Linked DNA regions of Schizosaccharomyces pombe. The protein of the gene in region 4 binds, or shares a complex with, the protein of the main gene of each other region. Each region holds a gene or a part of one and is shown on either strand. Other genes may lie near its edges.

Region 1 (3,879 bases), on a different chromosome or scaffold from region 4:
ACATCAAGTGTTAAATCGTATCACAGTGGTATTCTACGATAGACTATTTTTTTTCGTCTTTTAATAACGGTCTTTTCTAACATTTGTCCTAGATTATGATTTATTTTTCCCCAAGCAATGGTGCAGGCCAGCCTGCATATATGAACTTGTCATTTGACCCCAATTTCGTGATCTCGCTACAAGTAAGTTCTCTTGTGGGAGCTAGGTCAAAGCTTCAAGACATTCCTAAAATTACACAATTGATCGAATCAAGGATTCGACAATGGTTTACTAATCGTTGTGTTTCTCCTCAGTTTCAACAGTAAGTGAGAGTATGAATTGATTCATACTAACTAATTCCCACAGGATCGCAATTCCCAACCTATGGCCAACCTCTGCAAAAGAAGGACATGCGAGGTCCCATGCACCTCAAGAGGAGTCATCTAATGAAGATTAAACATTCTTTTGACGTAATTTTCGGAAATTTTTTTTATCTATGAATTTTAACGATAATTTATCTCTACCAGATTCCACGAAATATATTGATTATGAAGTCGAAATAAAAATTTTAAGCATTAGCTTGCGAAATATGGCGGGTAACTTCGATTCGGAATCCAGCCGTTCTTCTCATATTCCATCCACCACCTATTGCATTCGAATTCTACGTTTTCCGAACACATTTTTTTAACAATTCGTGATAAATTCCTCGCATCATCTATTCCGCGATGCTCGCTTCCCTCAAACTGAAGACCCCAATGCTCTAGCATTCCATTAATATTTGTGCGTGGAACGCGATAAACGTCTTTATAGAAAGACCTAATATCTACGAATGGTCCTTTGATCCAGTCAGGAATTGGCATTTTATCATATTTGAACTGATAATACGATTTGTTAGCGAAATGTGAGACAAACCGAACAAAATTATATTAACACTTACTTGTTTGGCTAAAAAGGACGCCATATCCCAAGGACCATCACAAGCCCAGGCCCAATTTTTGGGCTGTGTTCTGGGTACGGACTTTAAGGGTTCTATAATCTCAATTTCATCAACTGAGGGAACTAAAATATTGGAATGTTTCCGCAAGAATATGAATAGTTCTTCCAAGACATCTGAGAAGATAGGCGCTTTATCAACAGTGCATTGTTGAATTCCTGTCAGTGATTTACAATAGTCAGACAAAGTAGGATTCATGGATGGGCGAACGTAAGAATGAAATTCGTCGATTATGGATTTTTCTATTAAATCGAATAGAAGACATGGTAATTCTATGATCTCGTTTTCGAAGCTAAATCCGCAACCTTCTTCACATGTAGCTTCGACGTCCACAATTAGCAAGTATCGTCTACAAGTATTCAGTTACTGTTAGATAGAAAATGTTTAAACAATTGATGATTTAACCCTACAAACAAGTTTTGTTTTCATTACTAGTAGAAAACTTTTGATAACGTTCTTGTTTTCGTTTTTCTTCAAGACGTTTTTCACGAAATTTCCATCGCCGTTTCAGTTTTTCTCTTTATACTGTGTAAATAATTAATTTATATAAACTCTGAGAAAACGGACTAATTGCTTCTCAATTTCAGTAACATACTTGTTTCCATTCGTACTCAACCCAAGTTCTTGTAGTGCTATACGAATTTCTTCTACCGTAGACGGTGTTTTTTGGTTCATCTCGTCACATGGAAAAGGCCAAACTAAAATCTGCACTGGCGACTCCATAAATTTTTTATATTTTTGGAATTACTTTACCTTTTATTTCATTAGATAAACCATTTCATTATAATGGAATATAAATGTTTTTGAAATAACACTGTTTTGTTGGCAATCTTTTTTTGAACCCTACACTTTTTCTGGGTTGTTGTCTACCTGTATTAAAGTTGGGAAAGCATTGAGAAAAAACACATTATAAAAAGAGGGATGGATGAATTTCAAACTTTGAAACAAAATGCCTCGTGGGATATATCTGAAGACGCAAATGATACACCCAGTTTGCTTGTAGTTATATTAGACGCAAATCCTGCCTCATGGTACTCCCTTTCCAAAAAAGTGCCTGTTTCCAAGGTACTGGCAGATATTACGGTTTTTCTAAACGCACACTTAGCTTTTCATCATGATAATAGAGTTGCTGTGTTAGCTTCACACTCGGACAAGGTTGAATACCTATACCCTTCGATTGCACCTGAGCAAAAAGTCGCAGAAGTAGATCCTACCAAGGAGGCAAATACGTATCGAAAGTTTCGTGAGGTAGACGACTTAGTTTTATCTGGGATGAAGCGACTCATGAGTTCGACTGATAAAGTTTCAAGAAAAACGATGATTTCCGGAGCACTATCTAGAGCCCTTGCATATATCAATCAAGTTCAAAATAAAAATACTCTTCGTTCTCGAATTCTAATTTTCTCATTAACTGGTGATGTTGCTCTTCAGTATATTCCTACTATGAATTGTATATTTTGTGCTCAAAAGAAAAATATTCCAATTAACGTTTGCAACATTGAGGGAGGCACCCTGTTTTTAGAACAAGCAGCAGATGCCACAGGAGGGATTTACTTAAAAGTTGACAACCCCAAAGGCTTACTACAATATCTCATGATGTCGCTTTTTCCGGATCAAAATCTTCGAAAACACTTAAATACCCCAAACCAAGCGAATGTTGATTTTCGAGCTACATGTTTTTGCCACAAAAAGGTTTTGGATATTGGCTTTGTTTGCTCAGTTTGTCTATCAAGTAAGTAGTAACAAAGCTTTACGATAGGCTTTGAACATTTGACCTTTTGCTAACCTCTTTAGTATTTTGTGAACCACGGGTGCATTGTTCTACTTGTCATACCAAATTCACGGTAGAACCTATGTCAAAAAAATTGCACACTTGATAATTCGTTATATTATTATTAAACTATATATTTCTTTGTCTCACACCGGGTGTACAGCTTTATCATATTTGAAACCCTGTTTTTCATTACCTAAATCTCCTTATCCTGGTGATTTGTACAGTCTAGCTCTTTTTTTTTGGCGATTTTTACTTTCTGGCATTTTGATACACTTGAAATGTTAACATTTTTCGGAAGGATCAAACTATTTCCTTAAGGGGCATCCACAAGTAGAAACTTAACGTATAAGCAACTAATTCATTCCAACGTACCCTATTATTATTTATTTCCTTAGAGCTTCTTCTATTATTTCTTCAAGTTGCATTGGCTTCTTTCTTTTCCAAACAGTGCAGTAAGACGAAATTATATACTATTCTTTAATTAATTTACTAACGAATCATTAATGTTGAAGATGCTGACAGAAATTATTTCACAGGAACTTTCCTTTCTACTGTTTATAATCTATTGCATCTCTAATGTTGGTGCTTGATCATTTTAACAATGGCTTTTTTTAAGCTTTTTTAATCAGAAAAGTTATATTACATTGAGATCTATATGAATGCAATTTATAATGAATTGGTTTGATTATTGTAGTAAGGTTACGAATCTTGGTTTTTACATGTAACTCAACCTCTGAATTTCTGTACTGAGCAATAAAAGCGCGGATTGATAATTCATACTAATAGAGCCGGTTTACTTTTATTTGCCCGAATATTCTCAAACTCACAAGTGACGACAAGCTTGAAAAAAAAAAAGTATTTTCTTAAATTCGTTTATTCTGCAATCAGATATTCATAGTTTTTAAAAAAGGAAAAATAATAAAAAGGTTGTAATATATTTGTTCTAAATCTTCAGATTTCAGACGTAAATTAGTCTGATTAACCTTAGGAGCATTACAACCATTGCCTAATCTGTTGATAGATTCAATTACAAACTTCTGACATCCTGAATGTCTATTTTCCACTAATTTTAGAATTTTTGATTGACTGTGCTTTTTAACAGCTCTTTCCCGACTATATAGCGTTTTATTTC
Region 2 (4,313 bases), on a different chromosome or scaffold from region 4:
TTTGCGTGCAGTAAAATTGATGAACCTAAAGTACCACCACTTTGTAAAAAAGTTTGATTCATATCTATTGACACGCCAGAAATAAAAAGCCCTCGACTGGCCAATGCTAAACTTCCTCCCAAATCAGTGAGTGCTGCAATACAACCGCCATGCAAATTACCCATACGATTTAGGTGATGCTTCTGCAGTTTCAGAGAGCATTCTACAAATCCTGGAACTGCACTTATAATTTGTATATCACTGACTACATGAGCATCAAACCCATTGGTATTTACAAAATCCTGCCAAACAGAACGAACGAAAGAAAGCACCTTAGTACCAGAGCTATTAATTGCCATTGTGTCTTAAAACTTCGTTTAACAGGTATCAATCACTGTAAAAGTAAGTACCTCAGGTGAATTGGTTATGTTGTGGCAGTTCTTGGCTACTCGCAGCAGCGATACTTGTAGTTAGTAAGGATTTACAAGCCATTTGCCTGCCTATAGTAATATCACCAAATCATTATTACAAATGGTAATATAATTAAATGAACATTAAATACAAGAATATGAATATTGTTTGGATTATTCAAATAACGGATATTTTTTTTTTCTAATGACGAGAAGAAGAAATTCATAATTTGAACGTTAAAGAGTTGCATCATTAAAACTTGAATTTCGTATAAATATCCAACACGCGTATAGTTAACATGGCTAATGTTGAGCTTATGTTATATATATGTTTATTGACACCAGTAAATTACTTACAAGTGATTTGAGATTAATTTAATATTTTCTAATTACCACTTCTCTTTTGAACCATCCAAAAAATATTCATTTGACAGCTCGTCTTTTCAAGTATGCGATCATGGGCTGGGCGCCTGTCGTAGTTATGAAAAACATTCTTTTCAAGGAACTGTCCCAAACCAAAACCCCGAGTTCTTTTGCGTACTCTACTGCTTGGTCGAAGCCAGAATCAGTAAGAAAATCGCGAAACAAAATTCCAGGAGTAGCCCGAAGTCTATTTTTTTCCAATTCCCATAAATAAATTTGATCTACTAATGTAGGAGGTAAAAGAGGAACATTCGATCTCATCTGAGGGTGAGCATGAGTTGTCAAGTATGTAATAATTTGCTCCGCTGCAATTCCATTCATCAAAGCACGACGAATACTATCCCGAGTTATCACACCGACAACAAGATTTGAAAAACGCGCCCTTAAGTTAGCAAACAATCCGATGATGGCAATCTGTAATGGGGAGCTTGTGTAAGCATATAATCGGTAATTTGTTTCTACAATAATAAAACCTTTATCATCATCATTTTCACTTTGCTTTCCATGCAATGAGCGATAATCAGTTGTCAGACCTGTTGCCAGTCTGGTTGGATAGAAACGCTTGGAAGTAATTTTTCTTTGATAAACTAATCCATATTCTCTTAGGTCTTCAAGCATGATTTGTTGTGTATCTGTTAAGAAGTCCACTGAGTATGCCCTCCCCAAATCCAAACTTCCAAGCATAAATAAAAAGTGCAAAACCTGAACAGGATCCATATGCGTGTCTTCAGATAGTTTTAAATAATCCAAAAGTAACGTCCAAATTTGAGCATTTATATCCTGTAACAGAAACTGAAAACCGGCACGGGTAATACGTAGCTGGTTTTTTGGACCAGACATTAAACCGCCCCGCTTTAATAGACTTAAGACACCTTCTCCAGGAAATTTAGCTTCCGGAGTTCCTACCATGAAGTGCAAGATTGTTTCCCAAGTTTCTTTCGCATATGCGTCAAGAAAATCAACCGTCACCAAGTGCTTGTCTTCATCGGTACATGGCACGCCAAACGAATTGTGATTTCCTCTAAAAAGCTTAATTAGTTTATACTCAAAATTCAATAAAACTTACCCTCCAGTCAGAGCAGTTATAAATTGTTTGCGAAATTCACTATTTAGAGTGATATATTGTCCATCAAATTGAAATATATGCATCCTAACCAGTTTGTTGAAGGATTCAGATTGATAAACTTTACTCGAAAGTTTGATCCATAAATCGAAATCTGAGAGTGCTACTGGCATAGGATTGAAAAGCATAGACATGACATACTGTCTAGCTAGAATTGGCAATAAACGAAACACAGCAAGACAAGCAGCTGGCTTTTGGTAAAGCCTTGCATGATTTGGTAACTGTTCCAGGAAGTCGTTGATACTAGACTTGAATTCTGCTTGCATGGTGACAATTTGCGAACCTACTTCAAAAGGTTTAAATTGGCGGTTGTAATCTCTCTTTATTCAGCTGAATAGAACAAAATCCAGTGTACTCAACTAATAAACTTATTTACGATTATCAATCTTCCATAAATGCCAGATAAGCAATCATCGCGAGACCGAAGGTGGATGGTGATCAAGAGCGAGTCGAATTACTGGTATTAAATAGGCTAGAATAACAAGCCAAAGCTTCCGACAATGACAATAACAATTTTTTTTTGCTGATAATTACATTAACCTGTGTACATATTTATTACAATTCAAACTTTTATGCCCAAGTTGCGAATTGTCGTGATTAGATAAAAACATATAAACAATCATTCATACTTAAGTTTTAAATAAAGTCAGTTTTAAAAAAAAAAAGATTTGTTTTAAATGTTCTGAATATTTACAGTTACGTTAAATATTTACTGTACTATTACTTATTTAGACCATTAGAGATGCATGCTTGGTTGAAATAAACCGCGGGATAAATGACCCTCGAGAGAAAAATAATTTGTTTTTCAAATATCAGTGAAAAACATATAAATCCTTAATCATCTAATTAACTTCTTCCGTATCAGCTGAATAAATTGTGCGTAATTAAACTCTTTCATTTATGCAGCAAAAAAATTTTGTTATTTGGACTGGAATTATACATCAAGACCTTAAAGCACGTAAACGTTCTTGTAAGTTGTCATCTTCTACAGGAGCGGCGGGAGTAGGAACACTGGCAGCAGGAACCGAAAGATTATTGTTCATATTCTGGTTAAATTCCAAACCAGCTTCATCAGCTACCGTTTGCATTAATAAATCTACATCTTCTTGGGGTGTATCGACAGCAGTCACTGATCCCATAGCCTTATATAGTGTTAGTTCTAGTCTTGAAATATGATTAATCAAGGAAACTTACCTTATTCATATAACCCGTTTGAACATTAACATCATCGAATTGCGCTTCAAATTTATCCATGACTTGTGAAATCTGTGGGTCAGAAACATTTGAAAAAAAACTCATTCTACGAGAATTAGGAACTCACCATCTCCAAATTCATTGTTTTCATAGCTCTGTCCATTCCCCGAACGACACCTGCCATATTTCCCGACACCTAAATAGTCAATAAGTATGCCACGTTAAATTGCTAACATACAGCACGCATAGTTACAGCAGTCTGTAAACGACTTGAAACCGCATCTATTCTTGAAGAAAGTTTGAGCAAATTAAGGGATTCTTGCTGCTTCCGAATTGCATTCGATGCATATATGCGGGCAATTTCTGAGTTGCCTTTTGTGATAGCCTAGGTAATAACAGTTAGTAATGAATAACGCCAAAAAGTAAAAAAAAATTTTTATCTAGCAAATCATATGAAGATGGAATAATCGACAAAACCAAGACTCTGCAAAACCACCAAGAATTACAATAGCAATTGATAGATGAGCTGTAAAAAAATTCATTGATAGTGACATGCTTGGAAATAGCAATCATTACAACAAACAAACCTTTTTCACTTTTTCCCGTTCAGCACGCTCCTCTTTCGCAGCTTTAAGTGATTGTTTATTCAGCGACTTTGCAGCAAACTAACGCATTGTTAAAAACAAACTTCAATTAAGAAAATACCTTTAATTGAAACAGAGATGCTTTCAGGTTAATCAATTATCAAAAAAATTACTTACTTACCCTCTAAATTGCTCATTTTGTTTGTAAAGGTAAGCTAGCTGTATAATGCTAATTCTATTGATTGAGCGTCTGCTAGTAAGGCTGATGATTTTTAGAACTTCTTAATACATTACTCGTAATGCATTTTAACAAAATTAAACAACTTCACTAAGGAAGATAGTGGGGTCTAAAATTGACAGTATCTTAGTTTATGATAGCGTAAACACCATAAACAAAAGAATATAATTAGCAGATTATAAAAAATAAGACTTTCAAAAGATAAATAATTAGTGGCTCGATGTTTAAAAATTCAATAACCTCCCAGTTTATTGTTGCCAGTTTTTTTGTAGAAGACGATCTGTCAGCATAAAAATGGATTGATAACACATGAGGAAGTTTAACTTAGTTTGCTTAATATTTTTCCAACTTCTAGACAATTT
Region 3 (4,300 bases), on a different chromosome or scaffold from region 4:
TATATTTTAATTTCGCATTTTATTTTGCAATGTTCAAGTTGAAACTCAAACGTATATAATCACTATTGGTAAAAGGCTCTTCAAAATGCCAGACGAAAAGTTACCTCAATACAATGAAGTTTGGAATGATTTGGAGAAGGGTTGTTTACATTCTTGTCCTTCATATTCAGTCAATAATCATGTAAACAATCCAATTGTCAAACAAAACTCAACATTAACACAACCATCGTTACGAAAAAAAAATACAATGGCTGCACCTGCTAGATTAAGAAAGCGTTCGGAAAATGTGCGACTTACACAAGCTAGATATGCGATATTTCATATCTTCCTTCCTTTCATTCTTACTTTATTGCTTTATCATAATTTTTATAATTATTTCGATCAGGCATTGGCGGATCTTAATTCTGTGGTTAAATATGTTATTGAAACTATAGTGTTAATATTTACATACGTGATGACAGTGATTATTGTTTATTGTAAGTTTTTGAGATGATTTGAATTCATGACTAACGATTTTCTAGTTTCATTTTCGTTAATTAAATTAGCGTTTGAAGAAGCTTATGTTTATGCACCGTCTGTAGCTAAAGCGAATGAAGGTCTAGCTAAAGCGATTGCAGGCCTAGCTAAATATGTAGCTAAAGCAATTCAAGGTTTGGCTCATATTATTTTATCCTTACTGTTGTTTATTCTCGGGCTCGAAGTAATAGAACAAGATGAAGAGACTGGCGACGTTGAAATGTCGTCTATGCGAGGCCAAGCAATTACCACAGAGCCAGCAAGTGACAATACAATGGCTGAGGAAACCGATTGCAACACTTCTAAAGATGTAGAATCGGGCAGCAACTAAAAGTCATGGCTAGAGAAAAAAATCAAGGGGCTGCCAACAGTTGCGAGGGTTTTTTTTATTTCATCACTAATTTTCTTACTTTCTTGCAAAAGTCACTTTTCTCCTTTATTTCTATTCCTTGTATTATTATCTTATATGCATCATCACTTAATCATTTTCGATGACAGTCATCACTATTTTTGTCTCTGTTATAGAGCAAACACGATGTGTATTTGTGGTGCTAGGAAAATTCATTTAACTAATGAATCTGTTGTCAATTATAGATTAATCATCCTCTTTATTGTTTTACCAAATTGATATACAATCCTTAATTGTGACTTTGTAAGATTTGCGACTTAAAAAATTGTTCAATTAAGACATTACTCAAAAGATGCAAAGTAGTGATTTAACCTTTTTTTTTGTTGGATATATACGAAATAAGGATTCCATTCATCATTCTCAAGTTTTGGAGTTTTAAAAACCAGTATATACAGCAAATATAAGTTGAAATTTGTTTCTAAGACAAATAAAAACGAAAAAATCGACCTTGGAGTAGAACGAGAACTTCTTAAACAATGCGATTTCGCAATTCCTAGTCAGTAGCCAATTTCTGTTCGAGAAAATCAATTAAATGAACTCTTTCGTCCTGCAAACCATCCAACATTCAGCCTAAGCGAAAAGTAATTATTCTTCTTATGTCCATATCACTTGTAGCTTTACATAAAATATTGGCAATTACGCAGTTTGCAAATTTCTAAGTCTCTACTATATTGCAATATGCAGTTTGTACAAATAACCGAGCCATAAATAATTTTATAAAATACGATATATAACTCATCCTTAAAGAATGAGGAGTACAGATTTATTTTATATTCTTCTTTTACTTTCATAATTTCCTAAGTTTTTTCAAATAACAGAAATAGTTGTATACAAATTTCATATCACAAATCAAAGACTGATAAACACGAATTAACGCAGCATAACGAAATTCATTATTATATTTAACAAATAATGGTTGCGCTCCTTGTCCGTATTGTCTTCGTGTAAATGGTCTCTTGTTCTAGTACTTACTTAGTCTTACCATTTTACTGGTATGCCCAGGAGTCATTGCTTTTTAAAAAAATAAAACTAAAAATAATAAAAGAAAGAACTTTCGCTCATTGCATGTAAAGCAACTCGACGCGACTATTCAAATTACCAAAAGTTCACTGGGTAAAACGTGACTTGAAGAAATACATTCGCTTTGAGTTCTTTAGTCTGTAGAAACCAAGGAATAGAATTTGTGCAATATTCATTTATCTAATTATCAAATAGCGTTCTGGCATAATACCTATGCTCGGTTAAAATAACACTCAATGAATGAGAACCAAAAAAGTTTTGACTCTGACAAGTCGGAAAGCGAGGATGAACAAAAAAATGGAAGAGTTAAAGTAAGAAGCAGGAAAACTGACGATAATGAGGGTTATACTTGGGAAGGTGAATATCAGCGTTCTTGGGATATCGTACAGGAGGACGCAGAGGGTAGTTTAGTAGGCGTTATCGCTGGGCTTATTCAAAGCGGGAAACGTAAAAGGTATGGCGTATCAAAATTGGTTTTCTTATGTTCTTCATTTGTTTGTTAGTTGCCTATGTTGGGCATTTGGAAACATATTAGTCTTTTATAGCATCGATGAACGGTATACTAACTTGTCAATCTGATTTAGACTTCTTAGAGATACAACTCCGTTACAACGAGGTATTATTAGACACATGGTCTTGGTGTTAGATTTGAGCAACTCTATGGAGGAGCGTGATTTTCATCATAAGCGGTTCGACCTTCAGATAAAGTATGCTTCTGAATTTGTTCTTGAGTTTTTTGAACAAAATCCTATTTCCCAATTATCGATTATAGGCGTAATGGATGGAATCGCTCATCGGATAACTGATTTGCATGGGAATCCTCAATCGCATATTCAGAAGCTTAAATCTCTTCGAGATTGTAGTGGAAACTTCTCTCTTCAAAATGCTCTCGAAATGGCTAGAGCTTCTTTATCACACATTGCTTCCCATGGCACTAGAGAAGTCCTTATCATTTTTGGTTCCATCTTATCATCAGACCCTGGCGACATTTTCAAGACGATTGATGCTCTGGTTCATGATTCTATTCGTGTCCGTATCGTTGGTTTGGCTGCTGAAGTCGCCATTTGTAAAGAAATTTGTAATAAAACTAACTCATCTACGAAAAATGCCTACGGCGTAGTCATCAGTGAACAACATTTTCGCGAACTTCTACTCGAAAGCACAATACCTCCTGCTACTGATTCGGCTAAAACCACTGATGCTTCTTTGGTAATGATGGGATTTCCTTCTAAGGTCGTTGAGCAATTGCCAAGTCTTTGTGCTTGCCATTCAATTCCGTCTCGTGGTGGGTTTCATTGTCCTCGTTGTAAAGCAAAAGTTTGTACTTTACCGATCGAATGCCCTAGTTGTTCTCTCGTTCTAATCCTTTCAACACATCTTGCTCGATCTTATCATCATTTGTTTCCATTGAAAAACTGGAGCGAAATTCCTTGGTCCGCAAATCCAAAGTCCACTCATTGCTTTGCGTGTCAGTTACCTTTTCCGAAGCCGCCGGTTTCACCGTTTGACGAATCTACTTCATCGATGCGGTATGCATGTCCCTCGTGTAAAAATCATTTTTGTTTGGATTGCGATGTTTTTGCGCATGAACAACTTCATGAGTGTTATGGATGCCAATGCTCCGGAAATTAAAGTTTCTTTTGGTATATTAATGAACGCATTTATTTATAATAATTATTTTAAAATACTATTATGCTACTTATTCACAAATATGTAAAGAGATATATATTTCAATTTACTTATTTAAAGAGATCGTTGCTTAACTACCTTATCCGGAAGATAGTGAAAATTTGATCTATTGATGCTTCAGTAAGTGTTAGAGCTGTATCATATATAAAATAAAAACTAATTAAAATGTGGAAATGAATATATCCCTATATTTACAGATCAGAGGTCAGTATTGCAGTTGTAGTTGATTACAGAGGAAACCTGTTTTTGAGAATTCCATTTCTCGACTAAATAAGCAACCTTCTGACCGTACTTGCTTCCCCGAAGAGAAACCATGTGCTTTTTTATATGCGTAATGACAAGGTTTTTCTCAGCTGGTTGACCAAGTTGAATTATTTGCTGAATTAAATAGTTGCCATACTGATCAGATGCAATATCGATTAAAGGCTGCCTTGTTCGGTCAACTCTCGCGTTTGTAATTTGTTTTAGATATAAGGAAATGAAATTTTTTGGGCCAGACTTAATTGCTTTTTCAATGACCTTAGAGGCAAATTGGTCAATACTAAATTCCACTGCACGATTCAATAATGCATCAATGACTCTTTTCAAATCCTCTCCTTGTCCGTTTTCTACCATGTGTTGCACCACCCAGTTTCCCCATTGACCACGTGCAATACCGTCTAAATG
Region 4 (4,743 bases):
CGACCACTACCAACTAGGTACAATAGTTCATACTCAAGTAAAAGAAGCTAGGTGTGTTTTGGAGAACAGCTATATAAAATAAAGTTTTGAAAAAGCTTTGAAGCAAGCCTTATAAGTGGAAAACCGAGATTCTTTGGTTCGATTGCACTTATATTACAGACGTAAACAAAAGGAAGCAAAAAGCAATGCTAACCTTGGGCAAGTAATAAAAGTCAAACTAGAAAGAATCCTCATGAATAGCTGTATATAATCGACAAGTCGTCAGCCATGGCAAAACCAAAAAAGGAAAATGACTTGGATCTTCTTATACAACTTGCTGACGGTAATAAATGAACATGTGTAAATAAATAATTTTCTTACATTATTTAGCATTGGAAGCTATACCGGGTGATTTATCCAAAAATTTTACGGAAGTCCGTTTTTTAGAGGCTGAACTAAAGGGTAAGTGATAGTGGCATTATAGATTGGGATTTTTTGCTTGAACAACTGTGAAGGTTTTGATAATAAACAAAAAAATGAAAGATTACTAGTGAAACCGTTCTGGTGTTGATTTTCTTTGTTAATGTTTAATCAATCTGCTTAGGACTTGTTTGAACCTTGAATATGTTATTCAAAAGGACTTGAACGCTACTGAGGCTTATAATAAGTTTATGTTGTTCTTATCAAAACTTGCCTATCTAGAGCTTGCCTTTTTCTGATTTAAAATGATTAACATGTTCAGATGTGTATTCACAAGCTCTTTCTTCAATTGATGACCTTCTTAACAGAGATACTAGTGTTGAACGTCGTAATTTAGTCGCTCGAAACTTATCATTACTGTTAAAATCCGATGATGTACAAACTCGAAAAAAATCCCACATTGCAATGTATGCAGAGGCAATTACTCATAGTAATGTTTTACGTTTAGAACACTGTTATCAAAAGATGGAAATGAAATTACCAAATTTTTTTATTCCTTTCACTCCAGAGGTTATAAAAGAGCAAAAAACTTCGAGACCTATTAGAGCATCCCGGCGGAGAGCCAATTTAAGGAATCGCCGTGCTAAAGAATTGCTAGCAGCTGAAAACGCATCGGAGGAAGGAGATAAAAAGCAAATAATCACGGATTCTGGTAAACTACCAGAGACAGAGGAATTAACCGAGACCACAAATGAAGACCTCGACATCAAACAATTCTCTCCCTATTCTTCAGAGAGCAGTGCAAACGTTTCTTCTTACAATAAATCTTGAAACTTACGTAAAGCCTTATATTATTAAAATTCTTGCTTTTTTGTTTTTCTAATTGAAATACACTAATAATAGTTTATCCGGGATTAGCTACTAAATTCTAGTCATTCAACAGAAGTCACTTTGAAAACATATATAAACTCATGTCTTTCCATACTGATTCGAATGGAGGTAACTTCTTTCATACTTAATGCTACGTTTAAAGAGTTTGCATGTTTTGGAAACAATTACTTGATAATACTACCAGGAATTATGTTAGAAAGGAACGTATTTAGACATTTGAATTACTCTACAAATTCTATTTGTAGCCACTATCAGTTTTTTGGCGGACATTACGAATCTTTTGAACTTTTAGTAGTGATAGTTTATTACTTTTCACATGTTGGTTCTTTCTCTTTGGCTGAGATATATCGTATTACCTGGGATAAACGCATTGTACTTTATGGAACAACAACCACTCTTGTCTACTGCTCTGAAGGGTCGGATTGATTGCGTATATGATTAATTCATATTGTATTTTTTTAAAAATAAAACAGGGCTATAGTTTTAGATAACTGTCTCTTATAGGTTACCTATGTTCATAGCTCAACTTAATGAGGATATATTTACCCAAAATCTAAGTGTATATGATTTGGGACATCAAGAAACCATTCAAAACTTTTATTTTTCTAATGATTTTCGTAGTTTCCAATGTTCATCCTGTGTCTAACAAATCTTGATAATTTCGTAAAAGACTAGCGGTGTATTCCACAACTACCAAAATATCTGATGGGAGACAGGGTAGAAGCATTAGCCATATTCAGAAAAAAACAAGGTAAAATAACAATTAAATCAATGATTCTAACATGCAGGCGTATTATCTATCGATAGTAGATTAAAATGGACGGGGGAAGGGAAAACAACACCATCAGTAGATATTGCTTTTGATGCAATTTCGAGTAATAATAATTGTTGCATTTTCGAGATTACTGACAGATTGATAGATCTTCAAACTACTCCAGCGTCTAATCCAAAAGTTATGATTCGTGTTTTTATAGTAGTAAAGGAAGGTGAAGATCCCACTTCTTTAGTATTTCATTTCACCGGTACTCCTAATGCCAGAGAAAATTGTGATATGATTACTAATGAGTTGAGAAATGCGATACAAAGACAAAGGGAAGGCTCTCAATCTAAACCACAAGGAGCCAATGTCGATCGTGTAAATTCTACGAATCTAGAAAAGGACATCGACTTACAAGAGTCTTTGCTTACTAACAATCCCGATCTCTTACAAACATTTAAGGAAGCAGTTATGAAGGGACATTTAAGTAATGAGCAATTTTGGAGCACAAGGCTTCATTTGCTCCGCGCTCATGCTGTAGAAAGGTCTCAGCAGCGTGGTCCTTATAATGTCTTGTCTACTATTAAACCTAAAACAGTGGACAACCAAATGAAAGTTTCCCTTACCGGCCAGCAAATTCACGATATGTTTGAACAACATCCATTGCTCCGAAAGGTATATGACAAGCATGTGCCTCCTCTAGCAGAAGGAGAGTTTTGGAGTAGATTTTTCCTTTCCAAGCTTTGTAAAAAGCTTCGTGGCGACAGAATTACACCAATGGATCCCTCTGATGATATAATGGATAAGTATTTAAAAGATAATGAAGGTAATTTCTCCAACCTAGATGAATTCCATTTCTAACATTTTCAAGAGGTAACCAAAGTATCGGATGAACCTATTGCATCGCACCTCTTTGATTTAGAAGGAAATGATCAAAATGCAAATGTAATAGCAGAACTTAGACCTGATATCACTATGCGAATTGACAAAGAAGCTCTACCGTTTATGAAAAACATCAATCAGCTTTCGGAAAGACTTTTGGAAAAAAGTTTGGGGTATGTATATTCGGTTTTATTAATTGTTATTGCTTCGGTATGCCTAACAACTTGTAGAAACTCTAAACGATTTAACAACGAAAATGAAGAAACATACTTAAAAGAATCTGGTTTTCACGATTTAGAAGAAGAAGCCAGTGACTCTAAAGTTGTCTTAAAAATCAAAGGTCAAGATCAGTTATTGGAAAATAATTTTGTCCCCTCAAAAAATCAAGTTGGTTTAGAGCCTTTGCCTTCATTGGAAGCTCTTCAACATTTATACCAGGAAGATTCGATAAGCTTAAATCACATTGAACATGATTCTGACTCTTTGGCTGAAGCCGCTATGCAGCTTACTCAGAGTATGCGCGAAAAGCATGAGTTTGAGACCCACGGCACTGCATCAAATTTACCTATTGACATAAAAAATGAAATTGTTTTGTGCCATACCGTTACGATAGAATTTTTGCATCAATTTTGGAATGCCTTGTTGAATACAACTTTCCCGGACAAGAAGGCGATGGCCCCCCTTCAGAATGCTCTGTTAAATTCGAAAAAAAGGGTGGAGGCAATTGCGAGCCAGGCTCAGGAACAAAACGTTGATCCAAAACTGGTTTATGAGGTAAGTTTTTTTTGTAGAGATTTTGATTATTAACTAGGATTAGTTGGTATCCTGTACGCTCACTTCTATTGATACGTCAATCTCGGAGTATCAAAGACGAATGTCTTATCCTCCTGCTTAGGTTTGATAATGTCTTTGGAAACTCAATTGTGCTTGTAAAAGGTAATTGTTTCTGTTTTTCCATATAGAGGTTAATGATATATTGATATATTCTTTATTGGACTTAATGTTCTTTCTTCATAAAGGCTGGAAAAAATGAACATTGAAATGCTGGATATGGCTCTTTTTCTGTTTATACAACTCTTGAATTAAAAAACTTTTGTTTTGGTTTATAGATTCAAAAGACAATCAAAACTGTTTTTAGATTACTGTGCTCATAGGCCAAAATCTAATGTTTTTATGTCTTTATAGATTTTATTATTTATTAAAATTCGTTTTATGACACGAATATAGTATGTTATAAACTGATGTTCAATTAATTAATGTCCCATAATTTCTCTCTTTTGTTTTAAATGCTTGTTTTTACAATTTTTCAATTTATCGCTTCTCTGTATATTATATATAACTTTTTTTTTTACTTTCTTTCAAGGTATCAGTTCTGTATGATCCCAATAAAACTGTGTCTAGCTCAAGTATTAAATTTGGATACACAATTAATGATGAATATTTTAACATCGATTACCTAATTTATCTTATTTCAAGTTAATAAATAAATAGCCAAACGACTTTGAAATGTAGCACGCTAGCGCCTAGTTCCCTTCCCTTTTCTTTCATTTATCCATAGTGTATATGTACTAAGCTTAAACATCTACGCACACCTTAGCTTTCCTACATGCTTTGATTAATAAGAGTAATTGTTTTAAAAATTTCATTCAAGAAGAAAGAACAAACAATAAAGGGCCATGCTACGACTCATAAAGCAACCTTTGTTTCGATGTGCGAGTTCGGGACATTTGATGAAAGAGTCGCTTGTTTTTATCCATCAGACTCGTACTTTTCAAGTTGGAAAATTTACCTCAAATGAAAAATATAATGAAAAA

Evidence for each region.
Region 1: tfb1 (region 4) and tfb4 share a complex: the UniProt entries of both Schizosaccharomyces pombe proteins name them as parts of the 7-subunit TFIIH core complex.
Region 2: tfb1 (region 4) and tfb2 share a complex: the UniProt entries of both Schizosaccharomyces pombe proteins name them as parts of the 7-subunit TFIIH core complex.
Region 3: tfb1 (region 4) and ssl1 share a complex: the UniProt entries of both Schizosaccharomyces pombe proteins name them as parts of the 7-subunit TFIIH core complex.

The regions. Positions count from the first base shown.
Region 1 is NC_003423.3:1,318,509-1,322,387, reverse strand, and holds tfb4 (transcription factor TFIIH complex subunit Tfb4), read left to right. Parts: upstream 1-1,811; 5' UTR 1,812-1,894; coding exon 1,895-2,705; intron 2,706-2,767; coding exon 2,768-2,850; 3' UTR 2,851-3,318; downstream 3,319-3,879. Other genes in the region: ERMES complex subunit Mmm1, read left to right, coding at 93-301, 346-436; double-strand siRNA ribonuclease Eri1, read right to left, coding at 555-854, 917-1,322, 1,384-1,491, 1,569-1,648. UniProt on the Schizosaccharomyces pombe protein: Component of the general transcription and DNA repair factor IIH (TFIIH) core complex, which is involved in general and transcription-coupled nucleotide excision repair (NER) of damaged DNA and, when complexed to TFIIK, in RNA transcription by RNA polymerase II.
Region 2 is NC_003423.3:3,751,958-3,756,270, reverse strand, and holds tfb2 (transcription factor TFIIH complex subunit Tfb2), read right to left. Parts: upstream 2,372-4,313; 5' UTR 2,202-2,371; coding exon 1,879-2,201; intron 1,834-1,878; coding exon 813-1,833; 3' UTR 554-812; downstream 1-553. Other genes in the region: the13 (acyl-CoA thioesterase), read right to left, coding at 1-338; ESCRT III complex subunit Did2, read right to left, coding at 2,877-3,077, 3,130-3,201, 3,257-3,325, 3,368-3,514, 3,717-3,794, 3,835-3,854, 3,895-3,910. UniProt on the Schizosaccharomyces pombe protein: Component of the general transcription and DNA repair factor IIH (TFIIH) core complex, which is involved in general and transcription-coupled nucleotide excision repair (NER) of damaged DNA and, when complexed to TFIIK, in RNA transcription by RNA polymerase II.
Region 3 is NC_003421.2:382,292-386,591, forward strand, and holds ssl1 (transcription factor TFIIH complex subunit Ssl1), read left to right. Parts: upstream 1-1,899; 5' UTR 1,900-2,181; coding exon 2,182-2,399; exon of another isoform or gene 2,400-2,529; coding exon 2,530-3,577; 3' UTR 3,578-3,756; downstream 3,757-4,300. Other genes in the region: SPOM_SPCC1682.06 (uncharacterized protein), read left to right, coding at 86-476, 522-847; meiotic pumilio family RNA-binding protein Mpf2, read right to left, coding at 3,833-4,300. UniProt on the Schizosaccharomyces pombe protein: Component of the general transcription and DNA repair factor IIH (TFIIH) core complex, which is involved in general and transcription-coupled nucleotide excision repair (NER) of damaged DNA and, when complexed to TFIIK, in RNA transcription by RNA polymerase II.
Region 4 is NC_003424.3:3,519,623-3,524,365, reverse strand, and holds tfb1 (transcription factor TFIIH complex subunit Tfb1), read left to right. Parts: upstream 1-1,976; 5' UTR 1,977-1,995; coding exon 1,996-2,041; exon of another isoform or gene 2,042-2,078; coding exon 2,079-2,165; exon of another isoform or gene 2,166-2,210; coding exon 2,211-2,873; exon of another isoform or gene 2,874-2,918; coding exon 2,919-3,102; exon of another isoform or gene 3,103-3,159; coding exon 3,160-3,703; intron 3,704-3,746; coding exon 3,747-3,824; 3' UTR 3,825-4,193; downstream 4,194-4,743. Other genes in the region: protein Png3, read left to right, coding at 268-322, 370-441, 722-1,230; SPOM_SPAC16E8.18 (uncharacterized protein), read left to right, coding at 1,393-1,716; rsm7 (mitochondrial 37S ribosomal protein uS7m), read left to right, coding at 4,606-4,743. UniProt on the Schizosaccharomyces pombe protein: Component of the general transcription and DNA repair factor IIH (TFIIH) core complex, which is involved in general and transcription-coupled nucleotide excision repair (NER) of damaged DNA and, when complexed to TFIIK, in RNA transcription by RNA polymerase II.